Linked DNA regions of Macaca fascicularis. The protein of the gene in region 1 binds, or shares a complex with, the protein of each later gene. Links are inferred from orthologs where the notes say so. Each region holds a gene or a part of one and is shown in the gene's direction. Other genes may lie near its edges.

Region 1 (3,932 bases):
GGTTGTCTTTGAATTAATGGAATTGAGGTGCTTTGGAGCTACTGAAGTACCATTGTAATTAGAAAGACAGTTCTGGGCCGGGCGCGGTGGCTCACGCCTGTAATCCCAGCACTTTGGGAGGCCGAGACGGGCGGATCACGAGGTCAGGAGATCGAGACCATCCTGGCTAACACGGTGAAACCCCATCTCTACTAAAAAGAAGTACAAAAAACTAGCCGGGCGAGGTGGCGGGCGCCTGTAGTCCCAGCTACTCGGGAGGCTGAGGCGGGAGAATGGCGTGAACCCGGGAGGCGGAGCTTGCAGTGAGCGGAGATCCGGCCACTGCACTCCAGCCTGGGCGACAGAGCGAGACTCCGTCTCAAAAAAAAAAAAAAAAAAAAAAAAAGAAAGACAGTTCTGAAAGCTCCGACTAAAATACGAAACCATTACAGATAAGAATAAGAGTCTGCTGAAGTGTTAAGGCAGTTGTGCCCCAGCTGCCCCAGAGTGGCAAGAAATTCTCACCGCCCTGGGTGGAGGCTGACAGTGAGCCAGGACGTGAGCAGTGCAGGAAGGCATGAGCTGGAGGCTGGGGCCCCCCAGGGCTCCTCTTTCCCCAGAGCACGGCCCCTGTACTCGGCCTCGCCATGTGGCCGTAGAGGGGCAGATTCAGCCAACAGAGGCCTCCAAAAGCTGTGGGATTCTCAGAACTGCTGGATGTCACACATCCCTTCTCACTGGCAGAGGAGGTTGGGAGAACGGGTCTTGGGAAAGCCTGGCTCCTCGGTTTCCTCCTGAGGGTCCTTTGAGAGCGTTGGGGGCCCACCTGAGGAGAGCAAGTCCCACTTCTCCCCCTTACTTTCCCAGACGATCGTCACCGGATTGAGGAGAAACGCAAAAGGACATATGAGACCTTCAAGAGCATCATGAAGAAGAGTCCTTTCAGCGGTGAGATGGGGACCGGGAAGGACAGAGAGAAAGGCAGCGGGGAGGGAGGGGACACCCTGGGGCTGAGAACTGACCCAGCCCTTGCCCTGCAGGACCCACTGACCCCCGGCCTCCACCTCGGCGCATTGCTGTGCCTTCCCGCAGCTCAGTTGTTCCCAAGCCAGGTAAGGATTTCCTTTTGTCCTACTGGAACGACAGGTTCAGCTCTGTTCAGCTGAGGAGCAGTGGAGATGCAGACTCTTGGGCCCCATTACAGACCTACTGAATCAGAGGCTTTGAAAGGATGGCGCAGGAACCAGCAACTTCTGGGACGCTAATGCATGCTGAAGCCTGGGAACCACTGTGCCAGTTAAATCCTGTACTGGGTATCTTGGGATTCAGAAGTTAAAAATGCAGAATCGGCCGGGCGCGGTGGCTCATGCCTGTAATCCCAGCACTTTGGGAGGCCGAGACGGGCAGATGACGAGGTCAGGAGATCGAGACCATCCTGGCTAACACGGTGAAACGCTGTCTCTCTTAAAAATACAAAACATTAGCCGGGCGAGGTGGCGGGCGCCTGTAGTCCCAGCTACTCGGGAGGCTGAGGCAGGAGAATGGCATGAACCTGGGAGGCGGAGCTTGCAGTGAGCTGAGATCACGCCACTGCACTCTAGCCTGGGCGACAGAGCGAGACTCCGTCTCAAAAAAAAAAAAATGCAGAATCTCTGCTTTCATCTCTCACTTGAATTAGGGGGAACAAAAATCACTTCTGAATTAGCAAGACGTATGTGCCAGTGCGAGGCTCAAAAACTGACAAGCTGTCCACTTGAGGCCGCTGCTCACTTGATGCTCCATGGGCTCATTGCCTCTCAGGACTTAGTTTTTCAGCTGTAAACCGAGGAGTCCAGCTTGTCTCTCAAAGTGTCCCTTCCTTTAAAAGGCTGGGAGAGTTTTGTGGGCTTGAGTAGTCAGGGAGGACTCCAACGTGGAGGTGTGGCTAGAACTGGACCCTACAGGCTGGGTCAGATGGGGTAAGAGGAAGGAGATAGGGTGTTGGCAGTGACTTCCTAGAGAGGGATTGAGCCTAGGCGCCATCAAGAGGGGCTGGGGTAAGAGGACGGAGTGGATCTCTAGGGCTTTCTCTGACCCCTGCCTCTCTGTCTCTCTCCTCCAGCACCCCAGCCCTATCCCTTTACGTCATCCCTGAGCACCATCAACTATGATGAGTTTCCCACCATGGTGTTTCCTTCTGGGCAGATAAGCCAGGCCTCAGCCTTGGCCCCTCCCCAAGTCCTGCCCCAGGCTCCAGCCCCTGCCCCTGCTCCAGCCATGGTATCACCTCTGGCCCAGGCCCCAGTCCTAGCCCCAGGCCCTCCTCAGGCTGTGGCCCCACCTGCCCCCAAGCCCACCCAGGCTGGGGAAGGAACGCTGTCAGAGGCCTTGCTGCAGCTGCAGTTTGATGATGAAGACCTGGGGGCCTTGCTTGGCAACAGCACAGACCCAACCGTGTTCACAGACCTGGCATCAGTCGACAACTCCGAGTTTCAGCAGCTGCTGAACCAGGGCGTACCTGTGGCCCCCCACACAACTGAGCCCATGCTGATGGAGTACCCTGAGGCTATAACTCGCCTAGTGACAGGGGCCCAGAGGCCCCCTGACCCAGCTCCTGCTCCACTGGGGGCCCCGGGGCTCCCCAACGGCCTCCTTTCAGGAGATGAAGACTTCTCCTCCATTGCGGACATGGACTTCTCAGCCCTGCTGAGTCAGATCAGCTCCTAAGGGGTGATGCCTCCCCTCCCCAGAGCACTGGCTTGCAGGGGATTGAAGCCCTCCCAGAGCACTTACGGATTCTGGTGGGGTGTGTTCCAGCTGCCCCCAACTTTGGTGATGTCTTCCTTGGAGGGGGAAGGCATATTTTATTCTTTTATTGGCAGTACCTGTATCTATCTCTCTTTTTGGAGGTGCTTAAGCAGAAGCATTAACTTCTCTGGAAAGGGGGAAGCTGGGGAAACTCAAACTCTTCCCCTGTCCTGATGGTCAGCTCCCTTCTCTGTATGGAACTATGGGGTCCCCCATCCACATCCTGCAGCTTCTAGTACTCTCCTAGAGAGAGAAGCAGGCTAGAGGTAAGGCCTTTGAGCCCACACAGCCTTATTATCAAGTGTCTTCCATCATGGATTCATTACACCTTGAAATAACGCCCCAGGTACCAGCCCCTCTATGGCATTGGCATTGTCGCTGTGCCTAACACCAGCATTTGAGGGGCTGGCCTTCGTGCCCCACAGAGGTCTCTGCCGGCTCTTTCCTTGCTCAGCTGTGGCTGAAGGAAACCAGTGGAACAACGCTGGCTCTCTCAAGGATCCAGAGGGGGTTTGGTCTGGGACTTCCCTGCTCTCCCTCTTCTCAAGTGCCTTAATTGAGGGCAAGTTGTTAAAGAGAGTCGGGGAGAGCAGGCTGGCAGCTCTCCAGTCAGGAGGCATAGTTTTCACCGAAGAATCAAAGCACTTGGACTCTTGCTCTTTCTACTCTTGAATTAATAAATCTGTTGCCAAGCTGGCTAGATTCGCTTTTTTTCAGCAGACACTGAGCACACACTTTGCTAGTCACATCAGGCCGGACATTGGTGGTAGAGAGCTGGGTGAATGCGTGCACTGTCCTCTGAGAGCCTGCAGTCTGAGAATGCCCTTGGAAACCCCGAGTTACTGTCCAGTGGATGAAAACGGGCAACTAAGGCAGGAGTCCTAACACACCGAGAGCCTAGTAGGGCCCACTGACTGGGGATTGAGCAATTTCAGGAGTCTTCCCGGAGGCCCCATTTGCTCCAGGTCTTAGATCAGCTGAGAGTGGATCTCGCAGAGGGACTAGCCAGCGTCAGAGGTAAGAGAAACGATGTTCGAAAGATTTGATGGGGCCAGGAAATTTGGACTTAATTCCTTGGGTGGCCCAGGGAGTGTGTGCTTCTCTCTTGGGGATGTGTAGTGCCAGGTGAAGATCTACCCTGCCCCACCGATGCTTTGATACTCTGT
Region 2 (4,612 bases), on another chromosome or scaffold:
AATGCCAGCTACTTGGGAGGCTGAGGCAGTAGAATTGCTTAAACCCGGGCAGTAGAGGTTGCAGTGAGCTGAGATCACGCCATTGCACTCCAGCCTGGGTGACAGGAGTGAAACTCTTGTCTCAACAACAAAAAACAACTCAAATTACTCATGGCCCTGGGAATGGGGGCATTTAAAAAGTTAACAAAGGGAACCAACCTGGTTTCCACAAAGATGGCCACTTCCGGGTCAGCCCAATCATCAGTATCCCTGGGTCCTCAGTATCCCTTCCTCTTTTGAGTGGGAATTATGAGATTACAGCCCCACCTATGGAAATTGAGCACACTAGCACTGGCCATGCTGTACATACGTCAAATGAGAGGGCTTCATACTGTTATAACAATCTGTACCACAATTCTCTGTGCGGTCTGCCCAGCTCTAAATGACATGTCCTCAGAGGCGCCATCATCTCCAAGTCCATGGAAACCACGCACTTATAGAAACCAGAACCTCCCATACCACATGTTACTAATGACCTACAACATCGACTTGGTCTGTATCATGCAGTGCTCAACATTCTGGTTGCAGCATCACATTTCTCAAGAATTTGATTCCATGCTGACTCCTTTACTTGGAGTATTGAGATTCCCCAGGTACAGTGAAAGTATGAGCCTCTCAAATGGAAGACCAGAAGCTGGTTCTCCTATGCTATGTCAATCCGCCACCCGGAAGCACTTGCTGCACCAACAGCATTCCCAAAGCTTGCCTCTGCAGCCCTGCAGCACCCATTAGAAACACTTCTCACAATGAACTGCTGTGCTGGCAGAGCCCTAACTGGACTGCTGGACAGCAAGCTCTGTGAGGCATCTAGGAAAAAAGTTCCCAAAATCCCGAGAAACATTCTTCACTCCGGAATAGCGTCACATCATTGAGTCATTTGGGATGACGGGGCATATCATGGAGCAGGTGTATTGGGAAGTCAGTGAACAGTAAGGCTAATTCATTAGTGGGCCTGCTGGCGTAGTATTTTTCCAGTTCCGCAGCCTTTAAATCATTGGTGGTCTTTAGCGTGCCGGATCAGCGGGTGGTGGAGTTGGAGGATAGATGGCAGGGATCTGAAGAAAGGTGAAGTGTAGACGAGTGGAGACAATGTGAAGTTTAGAAAAGACTAATTGCCGGGCGTGGTGGCTCACGTCTATAATCCCAGAACTTTGGGTTGCCGAGGTGGGAGGACTGCTTGAGGCCAGGAGTTCGGGACCAGCCTGGGCAACGTAGCAAGACCATGTCTCTACAAAAAACAAAAAAACCAAGCGAGGTGGTGCGCGCCTGCAATCCCAACTACTCGGGAGGTGGGAAGATCGCTCAATTCCGGGAGGTCGAGGCAGCAGTGAGCCGTGATCATGCCACTGCACTCCAGCCTGGGCAACGGAGCAAGACCCCATCTTAATTAAAAAAATATATTTAATACAGGAGAGACTGGACTGCTTTGAAAAGTGGATTTGATGGGAATGCGAGGTTTGGAGAGATCTTATGTTTTCCAAGACTTGAAAAACATTGTGGTTCCGTTCAGCCCTCCCAGAAAATACCTAGGGGACCTAAAGAGCGGACCGAGTACCTGTTCGTTTCCCCACCCCTTAGCCGGCAGGGCTCCGGCGGCGCCCTGGGAAAACGTAGGGAAGGGCCGTTCTCGCAGCGGTTACCGGAAGTGACGCATTCATTCTCGCGAGAAGGAAGACGCGCGAGCGTCGGCGGCCCGGAACCGGCCTTGGAACAGCGGCGGAGCCTGAGGCCGCTTGCCCTCCCGCCCCATGGAGCGGCCCCCGGGGCTGCGGCCGGGCGCGGGCGGGCCCTGGGAGATGCGGGAGCGGTTGGGCACCGGCGGCTTCGGGAACGTCTGTCTGTACCAGCATCGGGTGAGGCGGGGCGCGAGAGGGAGCGGCGGTGGGTTTGAGCGTCTGTGGAACACAGGGCTGACAGTGTGGGATAGATGGTTAGTGGGACCTTGGGCAGTATTTGTGGGCCAGTAGGCTTGTGTGTGTGTATGAGAGAGAAAGATACTCTGCCTGTGTGTGTCCAAAGTTGTATCTGAGGTACTGGGCATAGATAGAGCTGTTGCGGGGAACTTGGGTATGACTGTCAGGCTGTGACCAGGTGTTTAGTGAGTGTGACAGTGCGCGTGTGTCTCTGTGAATGTAGAGTGTCAGGGTGTGTGAGGCAGATGCACGTCACAGTGTGTATGTGTGAGCACGAATGTGTGAGAAGAGGGTTGAAGGAGACTGCCTGTTGGAATGTGTGCGTCCGTGTGTTTGGGTCCGTGTGTGCGCGCGCTTGCTTGGAGGCCGTGTGATATCAGTGGGGACTGCAGTAGACAAGGAAGGCTTCATGATGGGTCCAGAGTTAAACCTTTGGAAGTATGGATGGGCTTTGGAATTGGGGATGTATTCCAGGTCGGGACAGTATGAGGGTAAGTTGGTGCAGATCATGGCTTCAAACGGAAGGCGATATTAATAGATTGGAGATGGGGGGCGCTCCAGTCAGTGGAGGACAGTTAACATCAGACTCAAGAATTTTACTTTGATTTAATAGAGAATGTTTAACCATTGTAACAGCAGTTTAAAAAATAATATTTGGGTCATGTTTGTGTGTTTGTTAGTTTTTGTTTTCGAGACGGAGTCTCACTCTGTTGCCCAGGCTGGAATGTAGTGGCGCGATCTCGGCTCACTGTAGCCTCCTCCTGGGTTCAAGCGATTCTCCTGCCTCAGCCTCCTGAGTAGCTGGGATTACAGGCGCCCGCCACCGCGCTGGGCTAATTTTTTGTATTTTTAGTAGAGACAGGGTTTCACCATGTTGGCCAGGCTGGTCTCGAACTCCTGACCTCAGGTGATCCACCTGTCTCAGCCTCCCAAAGTGCAGGGATTATAGGCGTGAGCCACTGCGTCAGGCCTGGGACATGTATTTTTTGTTATAAAAAATGATAATCAATAAAAGCTGTGAACCCTTTCCCCAGAAAAATGCACAGATGCACATCCACGCAACCATGCATTGCCATTTGAGAGGTTCATGCTTTCCTAAAGGACATTTTAGGTAAATAGACCCCGGACTAACACTTCCTGTAATACAGGCTTTGTTTTGTTCCCTATAAAATAGGTATAGTATAATACTTGCATGCATCATGGGTTTGAGAGTTAAATAAAATAATAATGTATGTAAAGCTAAATACAGTACCTGACCCATGAAAGCCCTCAACTGTTAGCACCTGCTGCTACTTTGTTGTTGCTGCTATGATCATAATGCTCCTCATTAATTGGCCTTAAACAAGGAAATGTCAAGATTAAAAGTGTTGTTCTAGGAAAATGGTTTTGTGAAGGATAAATTTGAGTGGAACAACATGTGGGACAAGATGAACAGTTAAGATTTTACTAAAATGCCTGGGCTTGGATTGTGAATAGAGAAATGAATTCAAGAGGAAAAGTAATAATTTGTTATCTAAAGGAACATGGGTGTAGTGAGAAAGCTCATAATTTGGGGTGGGAGAAAGGGGAGATAGGTGTCTACTTTGGAGAAATAGGCATGTTTAGGGTAATTAGAATGACAACTGAAACTGATAGAACTGAGGAAGTTTTGTGAACCAGGTTTCTAGATAGGGTGTGGGAGAAAATCTTGGAGAAAGAGAATGGAAGGTGAAGGACTAAGGCATTAAATCCTATGATAGCAGGATAAGTAGTAAATTTAATAATTCTCACCATCAGAGGGAATATAACACACTAAAAAAATAAGTGGGAGCCAAGTGCTTCCAGTGGCATGTTGCCTGTGTTACCTAAGCCTGCCTATAGACTGATCATAAGGAAAAAGGATGCATGCTGGCAGCTTTTGTGACTTCTTTTTTTGGTCCCTGGGTGGGGATGGATGAATTCATCACTTTTTGTTTTATTATGGTAAAGTATACATAACACAACATTTATCACTTTATTTTTAAGTGTACAGTTAGGTAGCATTAAGTATATTGACGTTGTACAGCCGTCACCCTATCCCCAGAATATTCCAGCTTTTTAAGCACATAACTTTGTTGTTGTTGTACATCTATAAACTGCCCATAGAACATTCTTTGCGAAAAGGTAGAATTTCACAGAGTGGATGAAATATAAATTAAGGAGTTGAAGGATCTTACAAAGTGGGATTTTTGAAATAGATAACTTACTGCTCCATCAACATGAGCATTTAGGACTCAGTGCTGTTCATAGCTGTGCCTGATTCTCATCTCCATGGTGGTAAAGGTCTGCATGGGACATAGATATAACTGGCCACCTGCTCATAACAAAAGGAAGACTGAAGGGAGTGAGACCTGTGGGTAGGCTAGCTTGTAGTCTGTCCTATTTTCCTTCTTCTCTATGCACCAAGTATCATCTTATCTCTAGCCTTTTTTTCCTCTCAGCCCCCAATTCACACTACCCTATCCAAGCTGTGTCTTCCTTCCCCACCTATAATATATTTTTTTCTGTCCTGGCCCCTCTCTTTATTCATACACAGCCTTTATTACAACTCTGGTTTGTGTCAGAGATTACGTATGTTGGAAATTCTTTTGAACTCTCTTTGTGATATCAGAAACATAGTGTAGCCTGTTTTGCCCTGGCTG
Region 3 (4,375 bases), on another chromosome or scaffold:
TCTTACATTCTAATATTAGGGGAGGGGTGGAGATTTGAAGAGAGGGGAAGGATTGGTTAGTACATGGCCAGTCAAGGTAAAGATGATTGCAATCATCACCAGAAATCTCTGCAGAACTACAGAGGGCTCCTGGGACTAATTCTGAAGAGCTCTGACCGAAGTGTGCTTTATTTTGCCTGTACCAATTCTACCAAGTAGATGAATTCAGTCCATGGCTTGCAGGCTTGGAGGTGGAGGTGGGATGGAGAGCATAAATTACATTTCTGCAGGTGAAATCAGAGCATAGTGAGCCAAAACCCCTTTCTACCTGGGTGGCATGAATGGGTCCAACTGCTACTATCCCCCAGGACGAGGGAGCAAGGCGGGGTGGGCAGGATGGGAGGATGGGGCTGCCTTGAGCCTCCTGCAGGATGACTGGCAACTACTTTCTTAGCGGTCCTTAAGGTCCAATCGCGGTTAAGGCACTAACTAAACTCATTCTTCAGCCTCCTTCTCTAAGTGCTCCTCGAATTGCTCAGTTTAGATGCCCAGAAGTAGGCTCAGGATCCATTCTCTGCGGCAGCACAATGTAGGTCAGATAGCATGAATGCAACAGCTACTTATGAACACAATAGCTACTCTGTTATTGCAAGGTATCCACAACCACCACTACAAAGATTAACACCTTGCTTTACTTGGGGGAAAAAAAAAAAATCATGGTCCTATTCAGCAGTTTCCCCATACAGGGAGAGTTTGCCCCTCCCCCACTCAACAAGGCTGTTCATCCCTAGGAAGTGATTGGAAGTGATTTGAGAGTTTTCCAAGGATTTAGGCTTTCCACTCCTCCAAAGCTTTCACAGTTCTACCTGGCAGAGGTGCGTGGGGGGTAGGGGAGGAAGGGCGCGAAGCTAAACGTCCCCGTGCTGCAATGAGCCTGATATTAGCAGAAACACAAGAGCAGCCTGCAGCCCCATAACCACAGTGCGTCCTTCCCCTTAGAAGTCTGGGGAAAGCAAATCCCTACGCCCAGCCATCATTTCCACTCTTGCGTTTTCAAAAGATCAAAAAACGGAAAGGACCGGCAGGTTGGCAAACCCCAAAGAGGGACCGCCCATCAGGTCGGCGTCCTTGGGATCTCAGCCGCCGACGACCCCAATTCAAATCGATCGTGGGAAACCCCAGGGAAAGAAGGTTCACTTGCAGAGAGACAGGATTACAGGGTGCAGGCTGCAGGGAAGTACCGCGGGGAAGGGGGCCTGGTCGGAAGGACTTTCCAGCCACTTGGCACTCATCAAAAAGTTCCCTGTCCGTGACCCCAGTGGCTCATCGCAGGGAGTTTCTCCGACGAACCCCAGCTCAGGGTTTAGGCTTCTTTTTCCCCCTAGCAAAGGACGAAGCCAGTTCTCTTTTCTGGTCTGACTGGCTTGGAAATTCCCCGCGCCTGACCCCGCCCCAGAGAAATCCCCAGCCAGCGTTTATAGGGCGCCGCGGCGGCGCTGCAGAGCCCACACCAGCCCGTGCCGCCGTCCCGCCCGCCAGCGCCCCAGCGAGGAAGCAGCGCGCAGCCCGCGGCCCAGCGCACCCGCAGCAGCGCCCGCAGCTCGCCCGCGCCATGTTCCAGGCGGCCGAGCGCCCCCAGGAGTGGGCCATGGAGGGTCCCCGCGACGGGCTGAAGAAGGAACGACTGCTGGACGACCGCCACGACAGCGGTCTGGACTCCATGAAGGATGAGGAGTACGAGCAGATGGTCAAGGAGCTGCAGGAGATCCGCCTCGAGCCGCAGGAGGTGCCGCGCGGCGCGGAGCCCTGGAAGCAGCAGCTCACCGAGGACGGGGACTCGTAAGTGGCGCAGACCCGGAGCCGGGGGTCCTCGGGAGGGCCGGATGCGCGCGGCCGGGGAGTGGGAGGCGCCGGGCCTGGAGCCCGAGCTGGGGAACTAGCGATGCAGCCGGGCTGGCGCCGCGGCGCCCCGGGGCTCCTGCACCGCCCCGAACGCTGCAGGGCTGCAGGGCCGCGCGGGGCACCGGCCCGACTCGGAGGGGCGGCGGCTGGGCCCTGGTGGACGGCAGCGTCGCCACACGCCCCCTCCCCCCAGGCCTGTCCTCTAGGCCGGGGGCGGGGCGGCAGCTGGGACGCGAAGTCCCCGGTTGCATAAGGCGGGGCGGGAGTTTCTGGCCGCTGGCGGGCGCCGAGCAGCCGGGAGGGGAAGTACAGGGCGTTCCGAGCTGGCGGGAGGGCGGGGCGGTCTGGCCGGCGCCCGCCGGGGCCGCGGGGGGAGGGGGGCGGAAAGTCCCTGGGCGCCTGCCAGGAACACTCAGCTCATAATAACCTCGCGGAAAACACCGCGGCCTCGGCCTCCAGAAACCCCGGCCTTGCGCAATCCCCCGCAGCCCGCGCCTCCCTGGGCCCCACGCGGTGCACTCACCACCCCTGGGGTTTTTCCCTCTCTTCCCCACAGGTTTCTGCACTTGGCCATCATCCATGAAGAAAAGGCACTGACCATGGAAGTGATCCGCCAGGTGAAGGGAGACCTGGCCTTCCTCAACTTCCAGAACAACCTGCAGCAGGTGCGCCGCTTGCCTGGCCCGGGCTCTCTAACTCTGGGATGGAACTGATGTAGCAAAGTCACCCCAGATCCTTTCTGAATTCAGGGCCACAGGGCATTATTCACCCTCACCTTTTACTTCACGTCAGCCCACATCCTAGAGAGTGAAGGAAATTCCACTGATTTGGTGAGGTCTTTGTGACCCACCTGGAGTCTCTGCTATTTGCCAGTCCTCCCCACCCGCCTGTCTAGGAGGAGCAGCACCCAACCAGGAGACACGGGTTCAGGGGAACTCAGGGTGTGGGTTTGGTCCCTGGCTTACTTTCTCTGGTCTCTCCTGCATTCGTAGACTCCACTCCACTTGGCTGTGATCACCAACCAGCCAGAAATTGCTGAGGCACTTCTGGGAGCTGGCTGTGATCCTGAGCTCCGAGACTTTCGAGGAAATACCCCCCTACACCTTGCCTGTGAGCAGGGCTGCTTGGCCAGCGTGGGAGTCCTGACTCAGTCCTGCACCACCCCGCACCTCCACTCCATCCTGAAGGCTACCAACTACAATGGTATGTCTGCCTCCCTGCCCTGCCCCACCCCCTCAGGTGGCAGGTGATGTGGAGAAGGGGCAGGTGGGCCAACTTAAGGAGTCGAGGCAAGAACTTAAACTGCCAGCATTTGAAAGGTTGAGAAAATATGTGTGCAAAGTGCCTGTTGGATGCCTTTATAAAGTTCTTTCAGAACCCAAACGGTGGGTTCTTAAAATTCAGAAGATATGACTATTTGTCCCATAAAAGAATAGGTGAAAGGAGTGAGGGTTGAAACAGGTGGTTATACTTTTTTCGTTTTGTTCTTCCAGGCCACACGTGTCTGCACTTAGCCTCTATCCATGGCTACCTGGGCATTGTGGAGCTTTTGGTGTCCTTGGGTGCTGATGTCAATGCTCAGGTTAGTGCTTCCTGCCTCCGATGCACTGAGTCAAGTTCCTCGTGCTCATGTTGTGAGCAGAAATTCCAAACGCAGCCATAAGCATCTCAAATTCCTTTTGGTTTCAGGAGCCCTGTAACGGCCGGACTGCCCTTCACCTCGCAGTGGACCTGCAGAATCCTGACCTGGTGTCGCTCCTGTTGAAGTGTGGGGCTGATGTCAACAGAGTTACCTACCAGGGCTATTCTCCCTACCAGCTCACCTGGGGCCGCCCAAGCACCCGGATACAGCAGCAGCTGGGCCAGCTGACACTGGAAAACCTTCAGATGCTGCCGGAGAGTGAGGATGAGGAGAGCTATGACACAGAGTCAGAGTTCACGGAGTTCACGGAGGATGAGGTGAGTCTGTGAACTCCTTGGGCTCTCTAACTAATGAGGGACCATTCCCTTCACCCTCCCGGGCCCCTAGAACTGCTCCTTATCAGAGGGGTATCTACATAATGAGTCTCTCAAATTTCTGTGCATAACCAGTATCCCAATAATGTACCTTTTTTTTTTTTTTTTAAATAGCTTACCCTTTTTTAAAGAAAAGCATTTTTTAAAACATTTTTAAAATGGGAGTTAAAGGCAAACTCCCTCAGCCTGTAAAGTTCATTGTATTTGGGCTATGGAGAATGGAGTCCAAGGGTTATTTCCAGTAGCGGCCTCCCCATCCCAGTGGCTTGGCAGAGCTTCGGAAGTTTAATGTGTCTTCTTTCCCCTTGTTTTCAGCTGCCCTATGACGACTGTGTGTTTGGAGGCCAGCGTCTGACATTATGAGCGCAAAGGGGCTGAAAGAACATGGACTTGTATATTTGTACAAAAAAAAGTTTTATTTTTCTAAAAAAAGAAAAAAGAAAAAAAATTTAAAGGGTGTACTTATAGCCACACTGCA

The links.
Region 2: RELA (region 1) and CHUK share a complex: the UniProt entries of both Homo sapiens proteins name them as parts of the 70-90 kDa complex. The link is inferred for Macaca fascicularis from reciprocal best matches to the Homo sapiens genes RELA and CHUK.
Region 3: the proteins of RELA (region 1) and NFKBIA are in contact, whole or in part, in a crystal structure (PDB 1NFI), measured with the Homo sapiens proteins. The link is inferred for Macaca fascicularis from reciprocal best matches to the Homo sapiens genes RELA and NFKBIA. Residues at the interface, in NP_068810.3 of Homo sapiens: Arg50, His181, Lys221, Ser238, Phe239, Ser240, Gln241, Ala242, Asp243, Arg246, Arg253, Asp294, Arg295, Ile298, Lys301, Arg302, Arg304, Thr305, Tyr306, Thr308, Phe309, Ile312; in NP_065390.1 of Homo sapiens: Thr71, Glu72, Asp73, Asp75, Phe77, Leu80, Ala81, Ile83, His84, Glu85, Glu86, Leu89, Leu110, Gln112, Leu117, Ile120, Thr121, Asn122, Phe142, Arg143, Leu150, Gln154, Arg218, Asp226, Leu227, Gln249, Tyr251, Gln255, Leu256, Trp258.

Annotation. Positions count from the first base shown.
Region 1 is NC_088388.1:8,712,515-8,716,446, forward strand, and holds the end of RELA (transcription factor p65), read left to right. Parts: intron 1-846; coding exon 847-927; intron 928-1,019; coding exon 1,020-1,091; intron 1,092-2,080; coding exon 2,081-2,685; 3' UTR 2,686-3,463; downstream 3,464-3,932. UniProt on the Homo sapiens protein: NF-kappa-B is a pleiotropic transcription factor present in almost all cell types and is the endpoint of a series of signal transduction events that are initiated by a vast array of stimuli related to many biological processes such as inflammation, immunity, differentiation, cell growth, tumorigenesis and apoptosis.
Region 2 is NC_088383.1:109,176,142-109,180,753, reverse strand, and holds the start of CHUK (inhibitor of nuclear factor kappa-B kinase subunit alpha), read left to right. Parts: upstream 1-1,723; 5' UTR 1,724-1,787; coding exon 1,788-1,892; intron 1,893-2,991; exon of another isoform or gene 2,992-3,063; intron 3,064-4,612.
Region 3 is NC_088381.1:103,221,148-103,225,522, reverse strand, and holds the start of NFKBIA (NF-kappa-B inhibitor alpha), read left to right. Parts: upstream 1-1,486; 5' UTR 1,487-1,591; coding exon 1,592-1,818; intron 1,819-2,437; coding exon 2,438-2,546; intron 2,547-2,873; coding exon 2,874-3,084; intron 3,085-3,374; coding exon 3,375-3,463; intron 3,464-3,570; coding exon 3,571-3,840; intron 3,841-4,212; coding exon 4,213-4,260; 3' UTR 4,261-4,375. UniProt on the Homo sapiens protein: Inhibits the activity of dimeric NF-kappa-B/REL complexes by trapping REL (RELA/p65 and NFKB1/p50) dimers in the cytoplasm by masking their nuclear localization signals.